Nothobranchius furzeri: one gene and its partners. The protein of the gene in region 2 interacts with the protein of the main gene of each other region in a pairwise test. Links are inferred from orthologs where the notes say so. Each region holds a gene or a part of one and is shown on either strand. Other genes may lie near its edges. The genes, in order: alkbh4, dtx2, sec22a and fam168a.

Region 1 (5,441 bases), about 39 Mb from region 2:
GTTCTTCTTGACACGTTTTTCAATAAAGCCCTCGCTGTTTTACCCGCCCTGTCTGTACTGAACACGGCCGGTGATTCGTCATGCAGAGGCTGTCTAAGAGCAGAACAAAAAGGCTGTGTGTGCGGGGACTGTACGCAACGCAGCCAAGCTAACAAGCTACATTAGAAAAGACTCTCCGCTTGATTTCCGTCGTCAAATTCAAGTCCGAGACATACTCGCTGTTTGTCGTAGCTGCTGTCAGAAAAGCGGCTTGACTCCTGGCGACGGTGAGTAAAATCTCCCTGAGATATCAAGCCGGCTTACAGTTGGGCGTTAATGAGCAAAAGGAGAGCGATCAACAAACAGGCTGAGCAGCTAAAGTAAACACGGATGTCCGGTCAGACTTTCAAAATAAAAGCATCGGTCTACATATACTTGTCTGTTAAACATCAGCAACATCTTAATAACTGCTCCATTCGAGTTTGAACTTTTTTACTTATCACAGTTTTGCACTTGTATATTTAAAATAAAAGACAAATAAAAAATGACTTAAGCCGGACTGAAAAGGCTACATATAGTTTCATAACTTCTAGTCTATTATTATAAAAAGAAAAAAAATCCAAGATGCCATTTCCCTTAAATGAAGGAGATTCTTCTTTTTAATTTATTATAGTCAAGTGCACGATTAGCTAGACTCAGATTACGCTTGACAGTGTTAACATTAAATGTTGTGCCATTAATAAACAAAAAGTCTAAATAAATTAAGCAATAACTGCTGCGCCTCGCTCAACATAGGGCCTTTTTAAACGTAGTGATGTGAGAAATCTCACTTTTTGGTCAGTACTTTATTTGACACTATAAGGGAGGGAAAATAAATACCTTTTTTTATTTAATTTTTGTTATTATAATTTTGTTTTTCAGGAAGACGTATTTCATTATAAATCAGCAAATTTATTTGAAATATTTATTTCATTCAATAAAAACAAAAAATAATGCACTCTATCAACAGAAAATGTATGTAAAAACCTTCACATTTAATAATTAAAAAAGATTTTTTTCGAAGACTAACATTCTATTAGAATAAATTTATACCTGTTATTTTACTCTAGGAGTTTAGCGCTACCTACTGGATGGAATAAAATGTATACGCAAGAAACAGAAAAGAAAGAAAAATTTTATGAATTCATCTCAGTCATTTTCAAATGCACCCTGGTAAGACAGACTAAATCAATATATTATTTAACTTTGCAAAGCAAGATTTTGGTCTAGTTCACTAAACCAATTCAAATGTACTTGATCTACATAAAGCCGTCATTAAAGCACAGACTTAAAAAGATATTTATTTGGGAGAAAACATTCCATATTTGTTCATAACGTTACATTGTGTAGAACTTCGCTTGGTGATGTAGTTGTCACGCCTTGGTGTTTATTCTAGAAACCCGCACGCAGCAGGCCTCAAATAACTCACAGCCACACTGATACTGGAGATCACACAGTGCTGGTGCTTTATTATAAACTCATCGTCCTGCTGTCCTAACAGAATGGTGGAGTTGCTGTTCGGTGACAATAATGCTTTACCGTTAAAACATAAGTTGAAAACTCCAGTTATAATTAGTCCTTTGATGTGGCACAGTTTCAGACTGAGACACTTCACGTCTACTTTGTCCAGCTTTTTCTGCCTCTGTTTATATTGGAGTTCCTCCGAAGCTTAAAGCAGTAGTCAACAGTTCAGCTCCCAGCTTCGCCTGCTTCCCTCCAAGGAGGAACTCTGCAGACAGCTCTCTGTATGTGCTGCAGACCCTGCGTTCATGAATATCCTTCCTATGAATTGCATGTTTCCACCTATGCCTCGCCTCGCCGTATAACACAACTAAACACCTGCGAGGAAGTCGTACAGCAACCTGGACTTCCTCTGAAAGTCCCAACTCTGGCAGACCCTGCTCAAGAGACATGGTGAGCACAGTTTCTGATAACATGTTGATGGTGACCAGCCGCTCCCCCCACAACCAGGAGTCATCCAGGTGCGGATCAATGGCTGAGCCTCTCTCCGGAGCGTAATCCAGATTGCACTGCTCCACTGGTTGAAAGCCCGCAAGATTTGCATCTTGCTGCATCCGCAGCACCAGTTTTTGGCTTAAAGCAGGAAGTCCAGTAAAGTCTGCGATGCGCACTTTTCTCTTCTTGAAGTTTACTTTAGGGCCAAAGTCCTGCAACCGTGTAAAATGAAAAATTTGAATGTTAAAAATATGTAACCCACAAAAAAGTACATTTTCATTAAATGTTTTCCACCTGTTTCCTTCGGCCAGACTGTGAGGGATGCCACACATCCTGGTCCATTACGCTAATCAGCTCCCTCTCCTCCTCCTCTGATATAAAGTTCTCCCACAGGAAGACTCCAGAAAAAGGGAAGGAAGAGCCCTCTTCATCTTCGCTGACAGCGAGCCCCGTCTTGGCATTATAGAGGAAATGATGCACAATCTTCATACCAAAAACAGAGATAACATTAATAAACAAAAGCTGTGATGACATGTTTTAATTATAAAATTTCATTTCACAATAAGTAAAGATACATGCCGTCAACATTTAAATAAACCAGGGTTGTATCTCATTATTTAAATCAAATTTACAACATTGTACCAGAATATTGTCAGAACAAACAAGAGTGATTTTTGATAAACAACACAATTTGTCCAGTGAGGGCTTCCGTACCAAGGTTTACAGACGTTACATCGCACATTAAAACTGAGATTTTTGTTCGACACACGTACCTTTGACTCTCTTGTTTCAAGCAGTACACTCGCCTTAAACGTTTCACAGACAAGACAGCGTCGGATGCCTTTACAAGCGCATGGAATAACCCCGTCGCCGTCGTCAGAGACCATCATCATCATGTTGCATCTTCTTCTACTTGGAAATCGTAGCTCCACTGCCATCTAGCGGACGGAGCCGCAGGCGTAAAATTACTTCTTTTAACCCCTATTTTCGTTCTGCCGCACTGTTATTGGCGCATTAAAATTTCAAATAAAACAAAATATGACAATACTTAGTAATATATGTGATAAACAAGAAATATAATAATCGAAAGTCGTATTTGTTTGACTTGTCTTACAGCCAATGTTCAGGGTAAACTGTGGCCAAAGTTTTAGGTAAACCACGCCCACCGGATGTAGACGGAGTTTCCCCGGGAAAGGTCAGTTGTGTTGCAGACACAAAAGTTGCAGAGAGGAGTTGGTAAGTAACATAAAAAATACTTTATTAAACATTATTAAAGGTGTTTGCTCATTTGTTATGGCTAGAAAAAGAGTCAGTTATATTACTAACTACTAACCTAGCAAAGAGTTGATTAATCGATCGTGTCAACGTGGTTATGCTAGCTACTGCTAAAGTAAAACCAATCGAAATCAAACTAACAGATTCAGTTTTACCTTGCTGAAGCATGAAGTTGATTTGGTTATATTAAATTTTTCTCAGTAAAGATGTCACTTGGCAATGGCATCGTCTCTTTACTAAATGAAAAAATGCTAAATATTTAGCTCGTTTTAAGTACAGACATTATTTAAACTTATCAGGCCATACAACTTAATCAGTGAGTGCGAATAAAAGTTTAACATGTTATTTTGCTGATAGATTCCACATTAGATGTCCTTTTCCAGCAGATCAGCTATGGAGAATGTAACAGAGAAGCTTTTACTGGAGAAAGGTTCTCCAAAAACCAACAAACTGGAGCAAATCAAAACTCTGAAGTAAGTCTTCCCCCTTGATTAACTATTTGTGTGTTCTGGTGAAGTCACTCTTTTATCAGTTGATGACTAATCGCATTTAATAGTAAAATTAGTTTTACTTGCAGATATGAAGCTTGATCTAAAATCCCCATGTTGACTTGACGGGTTTCTTCTATTTAGTCTGTCTAAGATGGCGCTGAAGCACGGGGATCTTCCTGTGAAGCTGCTATCCCGCCTGCAGTCCCTGGAGCGGTGGGATCTATCCGGGAACAGGCTGCAGGAGCTTCCAAAGAACCTGAAGCTACCTGCACTTCGGTACCTGGACCTCACCAACAACCAGATGGAGGATGTCACCACCTTAGAGTCTCTGAGCAGCTTGGAGGAACTAAAAATGGATGACAACTTTTACATCACAGTGAGGACTTGGCTGTTTTTGTCGCATGTAATCCAGTACCGTTCCGTCTCTGTTATAACATAAAGGACGGAGCTGCCTTTTTAAAATTCAAACTATTCGATTGGTCTTATTTAAATGAGTGGTTTAAGTATAATTTCTGTCTTTGAATTCATCTCAGAACTTTACAGAATCGTAAAACGTTACCGTGGCATCTTTTGGAGTCTGGTTGTTACATGTGATGCAGTTTTTCCACCCATGACTATTTTACCGCGACAATATCCACATGAGGTGAAAAAAACAAACCAAAAGGAAGTTTTCCTCTAACGCTGTCATCAGATAACTACTTCAACAAGTCTAGATGTTTTATTAGCACGTCTTTTTGTTCTCTGCAGCGCTGCAGCTTTTCCTTTTTGTTAGATATTCCTTTATTTTTGTCTCAAACTTTAAAATTCTCTTTTACAACTGAGATCAAGTCCTGACTCTGTTATTTTTAGATAAGTGATAGTTACAAGCTGATGGTGTTGCTGCCCAAACTGAGGATTTACAACAACAAAGATGTCAGCACCACTGCCAGCCACTTACGATACGTGTTCAGTGACAACCTGAGGACCAGGGTATGAAAACCGTTTAATACTTTCGTTTGAAAACATTCATGATGATTATTCATTAGACTTTGAGTTAAGCTGTGGCTCTCGATTGCATCACACCTCTAATGTTGCATTTTAAAAGGAAACGACCCAGCTGCTGCACTTTCTCATCATATCCCACACTTGGGTCACTCAGCTGCTGCTTGATTTCAGATAGTCACAGTTTGGGAGCGGAGCTTCAGTCTCCCAGATCCCATCACGGCCGGCAAAATGTCCGATCTGGAGAAGAACTTTGTGAACGCTGCTCGTCATCAAGTCAAATTTGGTCCCAGTTCAGTCAGCGATTTCACCAAATGGAGGGCAAGTCCTGAATTTACAAGGATCTCTGGGACTTTTTTGCTAATTTTCATCCCTTTTTAACAGTTTTGTTTTTACTTCCTTTTGATTTTTCAGGTGGAGATTCTTGCTAAAGAGCATCTGCGCTCACTGACACAACCAAAAGAAGACTTCATCCCCAAGGAGTCTGCTGAGGCCACAAAGAACTGTGTAAGATTGCTAATCAGCACCTTTTATTTAAACTTCACTGTTACAATACTGTCATTGGCACAAATGGCGTCTCTAAATAAAACTTCTTGCTGTTTCTGTTCAAACTGGGTCAAACATTTTACTCTATCTTCCTTTTCTCAGATAATTTCCTCGCCTTCCAAGAGGAAACGAACCAAACTGGTGACAGATGATAAAGTAATTTTGACGCCTCAC
Region 2 (6,076 bases):
TCCTGGCTGGAATTATTCATGCACAAAGTAGATTTGTTACTAGAACCTTTTTCAGTGCATTTGATTTTCATTTGCCTGTTTGAAACGTCCCGTTTTCACTGGCCTGTTATGGTGTTCCTGCAGCTGAAGTCCAGCTGTGGCCAGTTGAGCTGGTCAGACGGACACGAGGCTCGTAGGTGCACCATCTCCAGTTTTAATTAGTTCCTGTCGGAGCTTTGAGGGGAAAAATGACCCAGAAACTAAAACAAGGGTCGTTTCATCCTTCTGCTAAATCCCGCTGAGTGTAGGAGAGTAAAAATCACTTCATTATGTTTCAAGAATGAAACACGAATCTCTTCAGTATCAACCTCTGACCCTTGTCTTCCTCCCAAACAAACCAAGGGCGCCCCCAAGGGGTGGCCATGGCCACCCCTAGAAAATTGCTGGTACCCCCCCCCGGAAAAGCCAGTGTTTACAAATCATATTAATGTTCAGTCAAACCATATATTGATCTTATTTATTCAAGACATATTTGTAAAACAAAATAAAATATTACAATTAATAAGTAAAGAAATAATCACAATAAAAAAATACATGTTTCTGCTGCTCACCATTTAAAGTTTTTATCTCCTTAGTTTTATTTTTAACACAGCAACAGGTGAATGAACCTAAAAAAATAACTGCTTTAATTAAATTAGGGGTAACAGTTTAAAAAACTGAACCGTTTTTCTAAAATGTTTGTTTATAAAATTAAGTTAAATGTTTTGGATACCTACCGTTATTTTAATAAAAACAAAAGTGCAATGCAGCACATCTCCACACACTAAATTCAACCAGAGTTACCACATGGACCAATTTGGTGTGCCACCCCAAACATTTCATTGGCCCCATCTGGCCACCCCTATCAATTTTCTGGAGGCGCCCCTGTAACCAACGCTTCGTTAGAGTCTGGGTGAAGCCTTGTTCATTTCTCATGGCTTAAAAACAAAATGTTTTAGATTTAACAACCTGGTTTGAAACATAATTCTGTTAAGCGGGCGGATGAGAACTCCAACTGGCTGTTGGGCAGCAGATAACACCTTTAAATCCTCATCAGGCTCAAAATGATCAGGTTAGTTTAGCAAAAGAAGCTAAAAACACTAAAGTTTGCAGCATCTTCATCAGCTCAAATCAGGCGCCGGTCTGGTTTTGCATCATTTCTTTATTGCAGATACATTTTCAGTTGCATGTACATGTGTGGAGACTCGGCCGAGCAGACGCGGGCGAATTCACGCGTCTCGTTTAATCACGACGACTCTGATTGTCACACTGTCGAACCTTCCACGCTCCCGTCCACCTGGGTCAAAATCTGAGGCTGTTCGATCCGTCCTCTCAGATTCAACACTAAGAAAATGGCTGCAGAAGGCTTGTTAGACTTTAAAACAACCATGGATGTAAAAATCAAAACTTAAGATGTTTTTATACTTTTGATGCACTCGTGTTTATTTACAGCACTAAGTGTTGCCTCTTCTCACTGATAATCGTACAAACGGACTTTGCTACTTGGAGTTTCGCCGCGTTGCTGAAATGCTCGGCTGCGACGGAGCCGACTGCCTTCTCACTGTGGAATAACAAACCAAACAAAAACTGCATTTTGCCAGCAAATTCACTGTCAGAGCTAAAGTGCTTCATGAGACTTCTGCTCCCAGAATAAGCGCCGTTTCCCACGGCGACTCAAAACCAGGATACTGATGAGGCTTCGACAAACGAATCACGAGTTTCCAGAGCGGCGGTTCGATGAACTGGGCGCAGACTAAAGTCGGCCCAATGTGTTTTATTTTGAAGTTCAGGCTCCTGCGATGCGAGGTGCAGAAACACGGCGGCCTGTGATGGCGACCGCCGTCGGCTCGGTTGAGGTTTGCGGTGACAGAAAATGTGACGCTGCGTCCTAGCTGCTGCCCGGAGGCTTGAGGCAGTCCTCTGTCACGCCCTGCGAGGCCAGCTCGGACAGAACGTTGTCCAGGTAGTTGGGGTCGGGGTAGCCGTGGCCCGACAGGTTGGACATCATCTCCGTTTTGTGGTGGATGCCGTTCCACACCACCGTATCGGGCTCTCCGGTGGTGCTGGACGTCCCCACGGTGAAGATGAGGCGACGCATCCATGCCACCTTCAGCAGCTCCAACACCTGGAAGTCAGAAACGAGGTTTTTTTTTATCCAGTCACAACGTTTGGAATGCACGTCTATTCCCACCATCGAGTTTATTATGTCTGGAAAGGTTGTAAGTACAATTCTCAGACTTATAAATGTGATATTAATGCTTCCTCCCTGATGGACTGAGACTGATCCCAGACTTGTTAGTTATACAAGATCAGGTCTGGATTAATTCTCTGTTATTGTGAAACCAATTCATGCTTGCTGCTTTTCCTTTGTCTAAATGTGTGTGTGTGTGTGTGTGTGTGTGTGTGTGTGTGTGTGTGTGTGTGTGTGTGTGTGTGTGTGTGTGTGTGTGTGTGTGTGTGTGTGTGTGTGTGTGTGTGTGTGTGTGTGTGGTGTGTGTGTGGTGTGTGTGTGTGTGTGTGTGTGTCACTGATAAAGACGTGTGCTTCTCACACTGAAGTCGTAAATATTCTGAGCTGTTTCGGTCTCACGGACGGTTCTGTGGTAACCTTTGACTTCCAGAGAAGTGGAGGCAAGGGGGCTTATCCTGGAGAAAGTCCAGGTGCACCAGGTAATAGCTATAAAAACAGATCATGTACTCTTAAAGTCGATAAGCCCACTAACTTGCATGAAGGAGAAGATTTACTGTTCCTCCCCAAGGCCGAGAGAGGAAGAAGAGGAGTAGTCGGAGGGGCAACGCTGGGCTAAGGTCACCAGAGGCCAAGGAGAGACAAGAGTGGCAGACTGGACAGCCAGAAGAGCCTGCCGGAGATGATGTAATCTCAAGGAGAAGAGGAAACACGTGACTAGATGCTAAGCTCCAGCAGCAGGATGGGGGTGTTGCCATGGAGATGCAACCCCCTGAAGAACGCAGAGGGGAGGAGGGACAGAGTGTGAAGAGAGTTTGATGGGATGAGTGAGTGAGTCATGGACTGAGCTTTTTGGAGGGGGCTTGATGAGTGGAGGTTGAGCTGGGCTTCCTTGCAGAAGAGTTTGTGATCGTGTCTGTGTGACCCGCTGCGACGGGATTTTCATCTCTATCGGTTTGTGGAATAAAATCTGTTTCTCACTGCGAGGAACTTCAAACGAGTCCACGCTCTGGGGGTCTCCTCTGTCGGTAATCTACGAAAAGGTGAGGTGCTGGTTGTCGTATCCCATCCCAAAAAAGGTTTTAATGCTGTTTAGCTGTTACAACCATCCTGTGCTACAGTAAAGTTGGGATTGCGTGGGCAGCATCACTCTGCATGTGTCTGGATCCGATTCTGGAAACAGGACTGATATGGATTGCTCACTTGTACTCGGGATTTCTTCTTTCATACGTGTTTTATTGTTGTGCTTCTTATTGGTATACAGCGCTTTGTTTGTCCGTTTCGTGCGTGGGAAAGCGCTTTAAAAATAAAGTTGATTTGATTTAAACTGTTTCCTCAGCATAAAGGGACGGCTATCTTTACCTGAGGCATTCATGAGCCGAAGGAATAGTGTGTGTACTGGTGGAACTGGTCTTCCTTTTGTCCACTTACACGTATACTGGTCAGAATTAGAAGCCCTGGGTAAATCGGTGATTGCTAATCATCTCTTTACATAGTGAAGGGTCTTTACTGGCAATTAATGTCACGCCCACTGAATTGATTGCAGGCCAAACCTGAGATTATAAACATCTGAATTAAGAGTGGCGTTAGTCCGGCACATTGGCTTGCAACACTCCTAAAGGAGTTTAGGCAGTTTTCTCCGTACCATCATGTATTTGTTCCAAGTTCTCTACCTCTAAAACCCGGAAAGGCTCGTATCTTTTTACTACAACAGCGAGTCCTGAAGAGTGTTAGTCTGGGTTAAAGGTCAGACTGGAGATACTACCTTCCTGCCCTTGTCGTTGTCGGGAAGGAAGCAGAATCGCGGGAATCCTCTGCAGGTGTACAGCTGTCCAGGGTTGGGATGCTCCGGACCCTGATGGATGTCAGAAAGTTTAATCCGATAAGGTCACACCGGATCCGTTCAGATCAAAGAAGGAAGAATCTGATCTAAAGAGAACTTTGTTTTTGGTTGAAGGTGTTGTAACCTTTCACCGTTCATCACACACTTTCAACATCAAACCAAAACAAACTCAGGTCACCTTCACGCCTGGAAACATCTGGATTCATTTGTTTCAACGGCATCGGGGTAGCTGGGCCGTACCTGAACGCCAGGAGGGACGCTGTAGATGATCTGGATGGTACCACAGTCTGGGTGACCCGGCAGCGACTGGGCGATACTATAGATCTCCATCTTGCCTTTGGGCTGCGTGCCCGTCTTCTCTCCATAGATTGTCTTACAGGAGGGACACTGCAAGCTGCCGTCCTGCAGAGAAGGGAGACGACGGGTAAGACGCACCCCTCTCAGATCTACTTTAGTAGATTTGAAGTGTGACCATTTTAATGAGAACTCTAACAGAAAATGCTGAAAAACAACAGTTTCTCTGCAGAGGATGAAGCTAGCCTCGTCTGTTTTGGTTCGACTTTCTGCCAGAATGGATGCGACTCGCGAACAAATTAGAACGCACGCCAAAACCATCGCTGCACGGCGCGAGCCTCCGTGGCGCTTTGCAGCTGATGTGACCCAGAGCGTAAGTTAACAAGAAGCGCTCGGCGTTCCACAGCACTTCGCGGCGCATCATGGTGTGTTCCGGGCGTAACGTCTCAGTCATGGTGGAAGGAAGGCCATACTGCACCATCCTCGTCTCTGGGAGGTTTTCAGTTTTTCTCCTTCCAAAAACACAAGAGCGACGTAGTTTCTGCGCCTGTGAGGCTAACGCTGCAGTGTCTTTAATGTCTTTAATGCTGGCTTTTGGGTACAGGCAGGAGCATGAGCTCATACAGGGTATCTGCAGGTTTAAGGGAGCCAAATTTAAGACCTTTTTTAAGGCCACTTTGACCAAATTTAAGCTATTTTTAAAATTTCATTTAAGCTATAATTTCCAGCTATTGCCTGGAACCGGTGCTAACCACGTCGCAAACGTGGGATTAGCCACCCAGTTACCATAAAAACTGCACTTCCCCATGGCGCAAGCTCCCACTAGCTTAACCAGCTAATGTGCTCATCTAAAAATGGCCCCCTTTCACAACCAGCTGAACGTGTACGGTTCTGCATACGCCAACATCGTACACTAAAAATGCTGAACACAAACTAGAAATTCACGAAAATTTTATGGAAATAAAAGAATCTTGTTTATTGGGTCTTTGGTAATTTAAGACCTTTGGAAACTGGATTTAAGGATTATTTGTAATTTTTAAGGATTTTCAAGGCCTTAAATTTGGAAAAGCAAATTTAAGACTTTTTAAGGACCCGCAGATACCCTGTCATAACCCCAACCCCCCAAAACACCTGAAACTTACACTAAAACGTTAGAATAGCATACCGATTACCATCATTTATACACCATTATGTTTCCAAATCCCCATTCTTGCCTTATAAACAAAAATAACGTTTAATATTCTATGCATTTTTATTTCTTTGACTTGATATTTAATCACATTTGATCAAACACAAACGGCGTTAAGAGTCGAACTTTAACATCGTTTTGCTCCTGGAGCTAACATGCATGCCTGGAAATACCCCGTGCTATTTTTAGAACCTTTGGATCGAAGGATTTCTGTCATTTTAAAGGCCTTAACTAAAGAAAATCTAATCGAGGACTTCTTTAAACATTCTATATCAAAACAGAACCGAATCCTTTGTCTTAATTTGGACACTTGAACAAGAACTGTATGAACAACGATTCTGTTTGCAGGCTTCTTCCTGATTTAGGCTTTAAGAAAGCCCAAACGTCCCCCGTACCTTGGTCCCGTTGTTGTACATGGCCAGCATGCAGAGCATGTGCAGAGTGTGTCCACATGTGATGAACTTTCCCACGGTGTCCGGCAGGACGCTCTGAACCCCGTCCTCTGAGGACGGCGGCGTCTCGTAGCTGGACGGGCTGGACAGCTG
Region 3 (5,791 bases), on a different chromosome or scaffold from region 2:
GGATGTATATGGTTCTGCTTACGCCAACATCGTACACAAAAAATGCTGAACACTAACTAGAAATTCACGAAAATTTTATAGAAATAAGAGAAATTTGTTTATTGGGTCTTTGGTAATTTAAGACCTTTGGAAACTGTATTTAAGGATTATTTGTCATTTTTAAGGATTTTTAGGGCCTTAAATTTGGAAAAGCTAATGTAAGACTTTTTAAGGACTCGCGGACACCCTGATAACTCCATCATTTCTAAACATAAGATGATCTCAGTTTAAAAATGAGATGTGCATTCCTTCTAGCAACAAAGGACTAAAATTAACTTCGGATGGCACCATCAAGTGTTGTAACATGAAGAGCAGGGATGTCTAGAACCTGCTCAAAGAGCTGTGCACACATTCGACAAACAGCAACCTCCACAAATGCTGATTATTAACTCATTCGCTGCCAGCATTTCTCACCGTTTTTACTGTTTTTAAGAGTTACAGAACGTTGCGTGTTAGAAAGATGTCAACGCCAAAACAACCAAAACAAAGTGGAGACTCACCTCTTACATCAGGAAGAGTTTGAGCGTTATCCGTTTTTTCATAATCGGTTGTTGAATTGCGATCAGCAGAAGCTTTTCTGGTTCGCGCCTCACTTTTTTTACAGCAGTGGCCCAAAACGATCTCCTAACACATGGATGTTCTGCTTCCTGATTACGTGACGTGTGACGTACGTGGATGAAGATCGGCTTCAGAGCTGTTTGTTCTCACGGTGCGGGGGCTCGTTCTGACGCCCACACAATAAAAAAAATGCAAATGACGACTTTAATTGTCACTGGCAGTGAATGAGTTAAAGATGTCCCACAGATTTCACAATTGGATTAAATCCGGAGGCTCTCCGTTTGGGATTAAGTTTAGCAGATTCTCAGCTGGAAAGCAACTCATCTAACCCAATATATTTATATAGTCACACACCAAATGCTCACTTGGCCTCAGAACAGGCTAAATAAGCACAGGTGGAAACTTTTAGGGGTGTCAGAAACAACCATGGGGTGAGCAGGAGTAGCTCCAGTCCTACCGATGCCCTTGTATTTAGCTGCTGTGCGAGCTGAGAAGCCATTGACTGCCTGCAGATCCTCTGGGGAGAGCTGATAGGGCGGTCGCAGCTTGATCTCTGTCTGCATGTCAGCCAGGTTGATCTTGGTGGACAGGGAGCGCGGGTTGTTGTAGCGCTGCTTGGTTTTCTGGATAAAGGTGTCTGGAGGAGACAGTCAGCACAAAAACAAGCTGGTTTTAATGCTGCAGGAAACAAAACAAGGGAGATAAACAGATTATATTAGAGATAAGAACACTGCCGTGCTTAATGGTGGAAACGCCTCTCAGGCATCGCTTCATCTCCAATGATGATCAGCTGATTAAAATAATGAGGTTATTCATTCTCACCACTTAAAGGCACAGGACAGCAGATAATGTTTTCTTCTGCACAGCGTCTCCAGTACCTGCCTTTTACTAACTTATCCACCACCTTTGATCTTTTGGCTTTAGCTGCACCGGTGTCCTGAACGTAGTCTGGGTCCAACTCCTTTAAAGGCCCAGTGTGGGAAAAAATTAGACTCTTCAGCGCCACGCAGTTGTGAGTAAGTATTGCATCTATGGTAGCCCACAAACATCAAAAAGTCAATATGTTCTCAACTCAGTCTTAATTTGTATAGACCCACTGAAAGTTACTGCTTACATCTGGGTAACAGCGCACATCCACACTAGCTGGAGGGCAAGAACCCGTCTCCAGCCAGTATCCAGAGCGGGATCTCTGCGATTCAAGCTAACAAAATAAAACCTAGAGATTTAAATATCACTACTTTAGATCATCTAACACATCTTTGCAGATGAACAAAAAAAGAAACATCTCAAAGCTAAGAGTGTTCAGCAAAAAGCTTTCAGATGCACTTGAAAGAGCTAGCGAGCTGTGGGGACGACGGTCCTCAGAACCGGCCGTCTGAACTTCTCACCGCTGAACCGAGGAGCAGCTGGATCTCTTCTACGCTTTGCAGGTTATGCTGAATCGCCGTGACACCACTAGTCTGTGGAGCTTATTGGATGCTCTGTTTATTCTGACGAGCAACGTAAACAGAAACACAACTGAACAACATTAGCGGCTGTCCGCTCCAGTTACACACGTTTTGTGTACTTATTGTAACAAGACTGTTACTGCTGGTCACACACACAACTACACACCACACTGGTGTTGCCATTTTCACACACGTTTACTTCCCTGGACTGATCAGCCTACCGCTTTCCCCCAGCTCAGTCGGTTGGCTCTCCCCGGCTCCTCGCCCCGTGGTCACGCATAATTACATAATAATATAATAAATTCACATGAGTCAGAAAATGAGTTAAGCCTGGCCGATTCGGCCGTCAGAGGGGTCGCGCACTCCGTCCCGCAGCGCTCCTCCGTGAGAGCGGGGGTGGGGGTGGGGGGGTTGCACACGTCGACAACAAACATGCTGTTTCTCACCAGTTTTGTTGCGTGTTCGTGTCAGCGGACACAGTAGGGTCGGGGAGGGGGGTGGGGCATGACGCTTAGCCTGGCGGGTGGCCAAGCAAAGCCTGGTGGGCCTCCAGCTTACAAAGAGCTGGGGGAAACCCTGCATAAGTCATTACATGGCTGCTGTTTGTTTCTGGACACGTGGGGCAGATATTTCACTTTTCTCTTCTGTCACGAGACTTTGTCGGCTCTGACGCGGCTGGTTTATCCACTAGAATTAGCCTGTAAAATGTGACTTTACCATACTTCTTTCATTTAACCATGTGTATTAACCATGCTAATAAAATGTTATTTTGCCACTATTTAGCTCTCTTATTGACAACTAACAGATAAACACAACTGTGGCCAACAGGGGGAGCCAGCTTCGCCCTCCAGCCTGGGGCTTGGGGGCGGGGGTGTGGGCGAGTGACGCCAAGATGCAATGGCTCTATAGCGCCGTACAGACATGAAACATGGCACCAAGGCGCTTCAAAAGCACTATTACATGTTATTCACTAAGTAAGTACAGCAACAGTGCATCTCTTTGTCCTTTGTTGGTTTGGTAGACTGCATGCTTCCAGGACACACTGCTGTCTCCTGCTGTTGCCCTCAGGTCATGTCCAAGCACAAGCTTTGTATGTCCCTAAACAGCTACCGTATTTCAACATGGTGCATGACTATGAAGCATCAACCAGTTTATGTGTAAACAATTTAATATTTACAGCCAAGAGGAATACTTAGAATAGACGCTGGTGAGCAATTTTACTGAAAACTACCAAGTTTGTGAACAGATACACAGGATTTGATAGTAAACAAGTAAAAATATTCTCCTTGTGTTTGTGACTGATGCAACAGAAATCCTTCTCTAGCTGTTACACTTGGATCATTTTGGACTTTGGAGCGAAGCGGGCATTTACTGACAAACGGTTGCTCATCTCCATAAAACGACTTAAACGATTCCTCGAGTACAGCCTCAGTGTTCCTGCTAACATCAGCCAACAAATAAAATACCCTAACCGAACTGTGACACCAAAACCAAGATACAAATACAACCAGAAACGGTAGAACTTACCAAATTCAATGAAGGAGTACGGCCGCACGGCGCTGCTGATCCGTTTGGGGTCATAAGTGACAATAAACTCCTTCTGCAGCTCGTCCAGGAAGCAGAAGGCCAGCACGTTGGGGTAACTAGCAGTGCACACCATCAGGTACCCCACACCCAGAGAGTACGTGAAACTAAATCAACACACAAGCACAAACATGGCTGCTTTGAATGCATCTCTCAGAATTCCTGGGAACAAACGCTGACATTCCAGCAGCTCTGAACAACCACTAATTAAACACATCACTGCTTTGGAGAAATATCACACTTGTACTGATAATTAAGACTCAATCACCACATTTACATACAAATGCACCTGTTCTAACACATTATCCAAGAGCCTTGTGGTGAAAACCGATACAATGAGCTCAAATTACATCTCAGGGATTAAAGACGTTCCTTATTTCAGCACAATTAAAAGTAGAAACAGTCATCAATATTAAACAACGGACAACAATGATGCCAGAAGAGTTTGGTTTGGTAGACTGCATGCTTCCAGGACACACTGCTGCCTCCTGCTATTGTCCTCAGGTCATGTCCAAGCACAAGCTTTGTATGTCCCTCATGCAGAAACGACTGCCATGACATGGATGAACAGCTTTCTAACAGATAGTAAAAATATGGTATTTTTCAATTAGGGCTGCACGATATTAGGAAAACCTGCTATATTCGATAACAGTGCTTAATATTGCGATATCGATATTACTCACGATAAATGAACAAATACTGAAGTATGCAGTGTTGATGTCGTCTGGCGTCTGACGTCTGCTCTGGTTTCAAAGCAAACAAAAACTAATGCATGAATTCCATTACAACATAACATTTTTATTGCAACATTATGCAGCTGCACCTGCTACTGTATTAGCAGCAAAACAACAAACTGCATGCAAGCAGTTTCTCAGTGACTTTAAAACATCACCTCCACCATAAAACTTTTTCTGATGCTCCACATACAGAAAAACATCCATTACCAGGGTTTTTTGAATAAATAAAAAAAAAAAATCTGAAAATAAGTTTAAATGTTAAATAATAGTTAACATCATTTACATGCAACAGCAAATTCTCTCATTGCTACTGAACATTTTCTCCACTTATGTGGTTATGATATAAGGCTGTTGCTGCAATTGGGAAGTGATCTGTGCTGGGCCAAACTAGGAGAATATTAAGATTTTCTGAGGGAAAGAGAAAAACAATTGTCTACCTTTCAGAAGAGGAACTGGCAAAAAAAAACTACATGGAAAATATGTGAAAACGTTTGTTTTTAACCCCAAATTGAACAAGTTTACCTAGATCTTAAAAAGCAGCTCAGATGATGAAACTGCAACTATGATTCTGATAACACGCTAACAAATTGAACTAGCTCCTCTAAGAACACCGGCTAGCAGAGCTTCTGACTGACAGTTTATGTGCAGCAGCAAATCAACTATCCTGATTAACAAGGTTATAAAAGCTCATAAATGAAAAATCACTTTGATGTGTGGGGGAACTTTTCCAGGCCCTCTTTAGCAGGGTGGGACTGGGAGGAGAGTGCTGTAGCCTTTTAGCTGGAAGCTAACCGGAGCCTGGGGCTAACGTCACCACCCGGTGGAACACTAGCGACATGAAGGTGGGTTGGTTCACCGGCACGTGTCGGAGTCAGCCTGGTAAAAATGATTAACGACACCGAGCGGAGTCACGTTCACGTTTGAAAGCAGCGCTGAATCCAGAAACCTCAGCACAAAGTGCGTTCGTTACTCTGAGCCAGCATGACGAACAAGGGAATGGCGCCGCAAACTCTGTTTTGGTGTTGCTTTCCAAAAGGGTCTATGTAGGGGGCAGGCGTATTACGTGAACGGAACCATCTGATTGGCCGCATATCAGAAGGGCTACATTTGATTGGTCAAATAATACTTCCGAAAAAAACAGAGCTGATTTACAAAAAGTTGATGAATGACATGGATGGAAATGCTTGTACCAAACATTTATCGCTGTTTTTGACGTGTTTTGCGATGGGCCTATCGCACGTCCTGTTATCGCGATGACGATAATTTTTCGATACATTGTGCAGCCCTAATTTCAATGGAAGTTATTCTGAGCAAGTAGTGGTGAGCTGTGGGGTGCCACAAGGGAGTGCTCTGGGACCATTGTTGTTTTCAATCTTTATCAGTGACTTACCTCTTAGTTTACATCAAGCTACTATTACAATGTAT
Region 4 (5,791 bases), on a different chromosome or scaffold from region 2:
TATTCTGTAGAGTTTAGAGTGTCTGACAGAAGCAGGAGGGGCGTTAGATTGTAATCTGCGTCTCTTCTGAAGCTGCACCTCCTCACCCCCTCCCTCAGTTGGGTTTCATGTTTGAGACGTCTAAGAAAATATCAGCTCTGCTTAAGCGCAGCTCGCTCTGCTTTGTTCCAGCAGAAACCTGAACCTCTTTGTTGAGCTCGTGCTGTTTGATTGCAAGTTTCATTCTGTGCTTTTCATGGAGTGTAAAATATAGATCCATTAAAAATGGCCTTTTTCTCCACCTTCTAGACAAACATGAATCTCTTAACAACCCAGCTGTGGTCTGATTAGAATGTGATTTGGTCATAATTCTCCAAGACCGTAGACAAACTGTTTTCTGTCAGCAGGGCTTTTGTGTGATTGTCAACACCATTGTTCTTTAATGCCCTGCGTGCATGTTAAAGCACGCATGTGCACACACATACTCAAACATACAAGCACAGATGGACTTTTAGCCAGGGAGCAGCTCAGCATCTCTTTGTTCCCTTGTCCTTGTGTGAGAGAAGGGCTTTCATAAGCTCAGCAGCAGCTAGCTAGTAGCATGTTTGACCTTCAGGCTCCTCCAGGTGGCTGCTCAGAGGTACTGCAACCCACAGAGGCAAAAAACACATGAAACCAAATGCCTTCACTCTCCTCTACCATCTTTCTTCCAGCTGTGTGGATGTAGAGCTTGTGGCGAAATCAATCTGGAGTTCTTTACAATTGAATCCGATTAGTGTTCTTAAAGAAGCTGCAGGAAGTGTAAGGAGATTTCAGCACAAAGAAAAAAGGTGCTGCAATCAAATCGTCTGTTTGAATCTTGCTGAATGAGACTTAAAGAGGGGAAAAACAGGCTTAGATTTTTTTTGTTATTATTATTGAAATCCCCTTCTAAAGACGGCACCAGTCCCCATCTGGTGGGCTTTACAGGAAATGCAGACTAGTGTAGAAAAAATGTTTACTGCTGCTGAAGCACCACACTCACTCCTCTAATTATTTCACTTCATTAAGTTCTGAGTTATTTTTATAAAACAGTTAACACTTGCTGGGATTTATCGTCAGAAGTCCCTTAAGTGTTGTGATGATGGATTATGGTATAGGAGTAGTAGCTAACGTTGAGAATCTGGAGGTTACGTTACTGCTGATTGCTGGGAAGGATGAACTCGTAGTGGCAGCTGACAGACAGTGATGACCTGACGCTGCAGGTTCAGCATCTTATCTGATTTCTGTCACCTTTATTGCTTAAAGACGCAGCATGCAGCATATTACTGTTTTTATCCAGGAAAACGCGTGAAATGGAATGATTAAGACACCTTTTCTGATATAGTTCTCATTAATAACAATAGTCATGTTTCTTTCTACTATTGTTTTCTCATGTTTTCTGCTCAAAAACAAGAGTTTTATTAAAACTGCCTTTTCTTTTCTTTTTAGGATACACTCCTGCAGGAACCCCATACAAAGTGCCCCCCACCCAGTCAAATGGAGCACCTCCTCCCTACACCCCCACCCCCACCCCGTACCCTACAGCCATGTACCCCATCCGCAGTGCCTACCCTCAGCAGAACATCTACGCACAGGTAGGCGCGTTAGCAGTAAACCAGCGTTCCCTTGTTGGTGTGGGCATTTCTTCGTTCATTAAAATTCAGTGACTCCACATGGCCCACGCAAAGCAGGGTATCCGCGGGGTCTTAGAAAGTCTTAAAAGTCTTGAATTTGGTGAAAGGAAAATTAAGACCCTTAAAAGTCATAAATCGATTTAGTAAAGTCTTAAATTTGGTTCGTATTGACGTGATTTTAAAATATGTTCATCTCATACTTGCAAACTTGACGCTTTTGAGCGAAAATTGCTGTTTATGAAACCAAATGTGTTCACGTGAATCAAAGAGTTTTTGTTTTAGGGAAGGTGAGTCTTTGGTCGGATTTCAGTCGCTCTTTGGAGGAATCAGTTTCAGAAATATGAGGAGAGTTCATCCTCTTCACAAACCATCTTTTTTAGTGCGTCACGAGTTGCCATTTGACCGATCACAGTCACGGAGACAGCTAGGGAAAAACACGCTTCAGTAGCCAGTATCACGGTGCCACCACTACTGTCGCTTCAACATCTCGCTGCGGCTGGAGCTTAAAGTTCGTAAAATCATCAAAATCCCCTCCAGACACGTCAGTTTTTTTTTGGGGGGGGGGGTGAGTTCAAGTGTTGGTCAAAAACAGCTTTCCCAGTAATTAGACAGGTCCAACCTAACCTAAGGAAGACTGTGACAGACAAGGTGCTGTGGTTGTTGTTTCAGGTGCATACAGGCTAAAACCCTTTAGACACGTCTTCCCTACATGTTATATAAGAGATTTGAAATCAAGAAGAAAAACTTGCAAAACAGTATGGATCTGTTCTCGATGAGATGTTATTAGTGGAAAATAAACATAAATAGATCTAAAGATGTTCCTGGTACTTTTACCATCATTCTGTTGTGGAAAGCCAGCACAAATATTCAGTGAAAACGTTTAAAAGCTGCTTAAACCTTCATTATTTTATAGTGGGCCTGTCTATATTTATGAAATCAGTTGATTGTTTAAAGTAACTGTAGCTAAAGTTACTCCGAGCCACAGTAGAAGGTCCAGCCTGAGTTGAGCTGTGGTAACTGCAGAGGAACTGAGAAACAGCATTAAACCTTTTGCTGTTTGTTTGTTCAAGTTTAATTCAAATAGAACATGTAAGACATCAATTATATAATAATTGTATGTAAATGTACCAGTCATGTTAGAGGTAAAAGACAGAATAGATTAAAAAAATAACATTTGAACTATATCTGGTTACATTGAAGCGTCACGTCCCACAGTGAGCAGTCTCTGTCCCACATTTGGTGAGTTTGGATCTGGACATCCTACTTAAGAATGATTACAGTCATTTGGAATATTTTCAGATGTTTTAATGTTTGGTGTTTTGTGAATTATTTTCATAATAATAGTTAATTATTATATGATGATTCCTAATCATTATCTGATTAGTTATTTCAGTTTATTATATTTAGTTCTCTTGAACAGTAGGACCGGTAGAAATTGCTTGCATTTTGCAAAAACATCACTTAATTTATTTATTTTTTAAATATTGTCAATAAAATAAAAGTATATAAATGTCAGAGGTCACTACAAAACCCACTGTAGAATAGATGCACATCTGCAGCACGTGAGGACCTTGTTTAGGGGGAGTTAATTTAGGTGTCACTTTTTTTACCCAGTTCGTGGCTATGAAAAATAGATGCATGTAAACTAAAAATATATTTATTTTGTTCTTCAGTGCGCGCGGTTTGCATTTTTGTACCACCTGACTTTACGTATTACTTTACGTATTATTGCTACAGCCTCGCTGTCCCGGATGTGACGTAACCCAACATGAAGTGAAAACGAAGCGATGCAGTATTTAAAAACGATATATAAGTGTTTTAACAGTTGATTAGTTCTTTGTTATAGTCTTCATTTTATTTTTACAAGGTCTTAAAAAGTCTTGAAAAAGTCTTAAATTTAATTCTGAGATTCCTGCATATACCCTGCAAAGGTTAGAGCAGCAGAAGTCTTCTAGCTTTCACTGATCTTGTTAACTAAGAAACGGTGCTTCTATTTTATCTAGCCGTGGATCAGGTGGCATCTGATTAGCAGAAAGAGGTGTTTTAATAGTGTTGGAGTTGAAGGTTTTCTGCACATTTATAAAGATGAAAACGTCCCCGTCCAACACCTGAAGTATTAAAACTTTGTGTTGTTCTCCTGACAGGGAGCGTATTATACCCAACCAGTGTACGCAGCTCAGCCACATGTGATCCATCACACCACGGTGGTGCAGCCCAACAGCATCCCCTCCACGGCCCTCTACCCTGCCCCCGTCCCCGTTCCTACACCCCGCAACAACGGCATGCCTGCCATGGGGATGGTAGCCGGGACAACCATGGCCATGAGCGCAGGTAGGACTAATACTACCCAGAGATTACCTGTGTAGCAGCCATGTTTAAGATAGTAAGATGGTTATGATAAACCCTGTTCACATTCCTGGTGTTGTGTCTGTGTAGGGACCCTGCTGACAACGCCCCAGCACGCCCAAATCGGAGCACACCCAGTTACCGTGCCAACCTACAGGCCCCAAGGGACACCTGGTTACAGCTACGTACCGCCTCACTGGTAGAGCCCAATCCACCCATCATGTGAGCGTTTGTCCTGGGAGATGTCTCCTCCACTTGTCTCTTCTTCTGTTGTCCATCCTCACAGTTCTACCTTCTTCTGAATCCATTGTTCCCCTTTCCCCTCCAGATCTGGAGTCCACCATCGTATGCAACTGCTCAAACGTAACACGAGCTCCCAGCAGTAACCACGAGAACTCGGCACCTGTCTGCAAGAACAAAACTAAAGTGCAACAGCCACTTTACTATAATTGTGATTACGCGACATTCTCTAATATTTTTACAAAAGCTGCTTTTGTTTTAGTTTTTTCTCTTTTCATTTGCCAACCAGTCATTACTTTTATTTTGAAAGATGTTTGAATTCCTCGTAACTTTTTATTTTTTCCTTTGCCGTCTGTCATCGGAACTCCAGAAGAACTCTCGACCAACCGCGGGTGTCGGTCGCTCCTGCTTCTCTGTGTGTGGGTGTGTGTGTGTGTGTGGTCCCGCCTGCTGGGCTCAGCTGGTGGGAGAATATTGGGCACTTACTTCTTCGTCATCATCATCCTCTCCATCAGTCTCTACAATGACTATTGACTAATGCTGCCAAATGTTCTAACAACTAGATATCAGCACAGGTTTCCAACGATTTTATGCTCTTTTTTTTTGACACTTAACACTAAAATGCTTCAACTTCTCCTTTTTTACTTTTGCTTTTCTTTGCTCTCCATCTTTTTCCTGCCTGATTTGATCCATTCTTTTTTCATTTTGATTTCGGTCATCTTCCAGCATGTCTCCAACCGTCTTGGCGGCTCGCTAACCCTAACCCTCGTGTCTTACTGTTTTCCCATTGTACCAAGTACGCACTAAAGAAACCCCTTCAGACTACAGTCTATGCAGGCTGGTATGTCATGACAAATTTTAGCTAGAGAACATTTCAGACTTGTTTGGCTCATGTGTTATTGTGATTATGCTAAAATTAAAAAAATAACAAAAACATGCACACATACACACACGCCTGGGTTCTTGTGGCGGGACAAAACACACTTAGTGGCACTTACTGAACAGAACCTCCAGTTGGAACACGAACACGACCGTGGATTTTTAGGGGTGGGCGTGGCCTAGAGTGAGCAGAGAAGGCGTTTAAAGGGAGAGCTGAGGAGGGGGTGACAAAACCACGGGCGCTGCTTTTGTTTTGGACATTCATTATATGATTAATACTTTAAATCTACTGTCGTTCAATCTCCTTTTCTCTGGGCGAGGACTGATAATCAAACACAAAAGAGATTTAATTATAATGATAATAATAAGTCAAATTAGTAGATTTTAGTTTAATAGCGGAACAACAAAAGTATTGTAAGATGTGTCCAAAAATATAAAACTGTAATTAAACAAAAAAAAAAAGACATGGAGTTTAATGATTCTGCAATCCAACTTGGGCTCATCGGTGCTCTCTTGGTGGAGATTTTGGTGCGAGTTCGGAGATGGCTAGCAGGATCCCACGTTTAGGCACAGCCTGTGGCATTTTTCAGATCTTACACACAGTCAAAGAAAAACCAGATTAACGTTTAAGATCTGTAGGATGCAGATTGGTATTACGTTAAGCATTTACTGCACGGGTAATGTGGATGAGG

The links.
Region 1: the proteins of dtx2 (region 2) and alkbh4 interact in binary tests that used the Homo sapiens proteins (3 or more experiments, as listed by UniProt). The two-hybrid records come from large-scale screens. The link is inferred for Nothobranchius furzeri from reciprocal best matches to the Homo sapiens genes DTX2 and ALKBH4.
Region 3: the proteins of dtx2 (region 2) and sec22a interact in binary tests that used the Homo sapiens proteins (3 or more experiments, as listed by UniProt). The two-hybrid records come from large-scale screens. The link is inferred for Nothobranchius furzeri from reciprocal best matches to the Homo sapiens genes DTX2 and SEC22A.
Region 4: the proteins of dtx2 (region 2) and fam168a interact in binary tests that used the Homo sapiens proteins (3 or more experiments, as listed by UniProt). The two-hybrid records come from large-scale screens. The link is inferred for Nothobranchius furzeri from reciprocal best matches to the Homo sapiens genes DTX2 and FAM168A.

Annotation. Positions count from the first base shown.
Region 1 is NC_091750.1:30,551,095-30,556,535, reverse strand, and holds alkbh4 (alpha-ketoglutarate-dependent dioxygenase alkB homolog 4), read right to left. Parts: upstream 2,929-5,441; 5' UTR 2,913-2,928; coding exon 2,748-2,912; intron 2,458-2,747; coding exon 2,269-2,457; intron 2,187-2,268; coding exon 1,665-2,186; 3' UTR 1,462-1,664; downstream 1-1,461. Other genes in the region: lrwd1 (leucine-rich repeat and WD repeat-containing protein 1), read left to right, coding at 3,619-3,722, 3,882-4,116, 4,590-4,709, 4,896-5,042, 5,136-5,228, 5,370-5,441. UniProt on the Homo sapiens protein: Dioxygenase that mediates demethylation of actin monomethylated at 'Lys-84' (K84me1), thereby acting as a regulator of actomyosin-processes.
Region 2 is NC_091750.1:69,058,971-69,065,046, reverse strand, and holds the end of dtx2 (probable E3 ubiquitin-protein ligase DTX2), read right to left. Parts: coding exon 5,927-6,076; intron 4,451-5,926; coding exon 4,289-4,450; intron 4,061-4,288; coding exon 3,971-4,060; intron 2,144-3,970; coding exon 1,907-2,143; 3' UTR 1,773-1,906; downstream 1-1,772. UniProt on the Homo sapiens protein: Regulator of Notch signaling, a signaling pathway involved in cell-cell communications that regulates a broad spectrum of cell-fate determinations.
Region 3 is NC_091754.1:31,848,533-31,854,323, reverse strand, and holds part of sec22a (vesicle-trafficking protein SEC22a), read right to left. Parts: intron 3,737-5,791; coding exon 3,573-3,736; intron 1,235-3,572; coding exon 1,055-1,234; intron 1-1,054. UniProt on the Homo sapiens protein: May be involved in vesicle transport between the ER and the Golgi complex.
Region 4 is NC_091753.1:35,591,766-35,597,556, forward strand, and holds part of fam168a (protein FAM168A), read left to right. Parts: intron 1-1,449; coding exon 1,450-1,595; intron 1,596-3,778; coding exon 3,779-3,965; intron 3,966-4,070; coding exon 4,071-4,183; 3' UTR 4,184-4,202; intron 4,203-4,308; 3' UTR 4,309-5,791.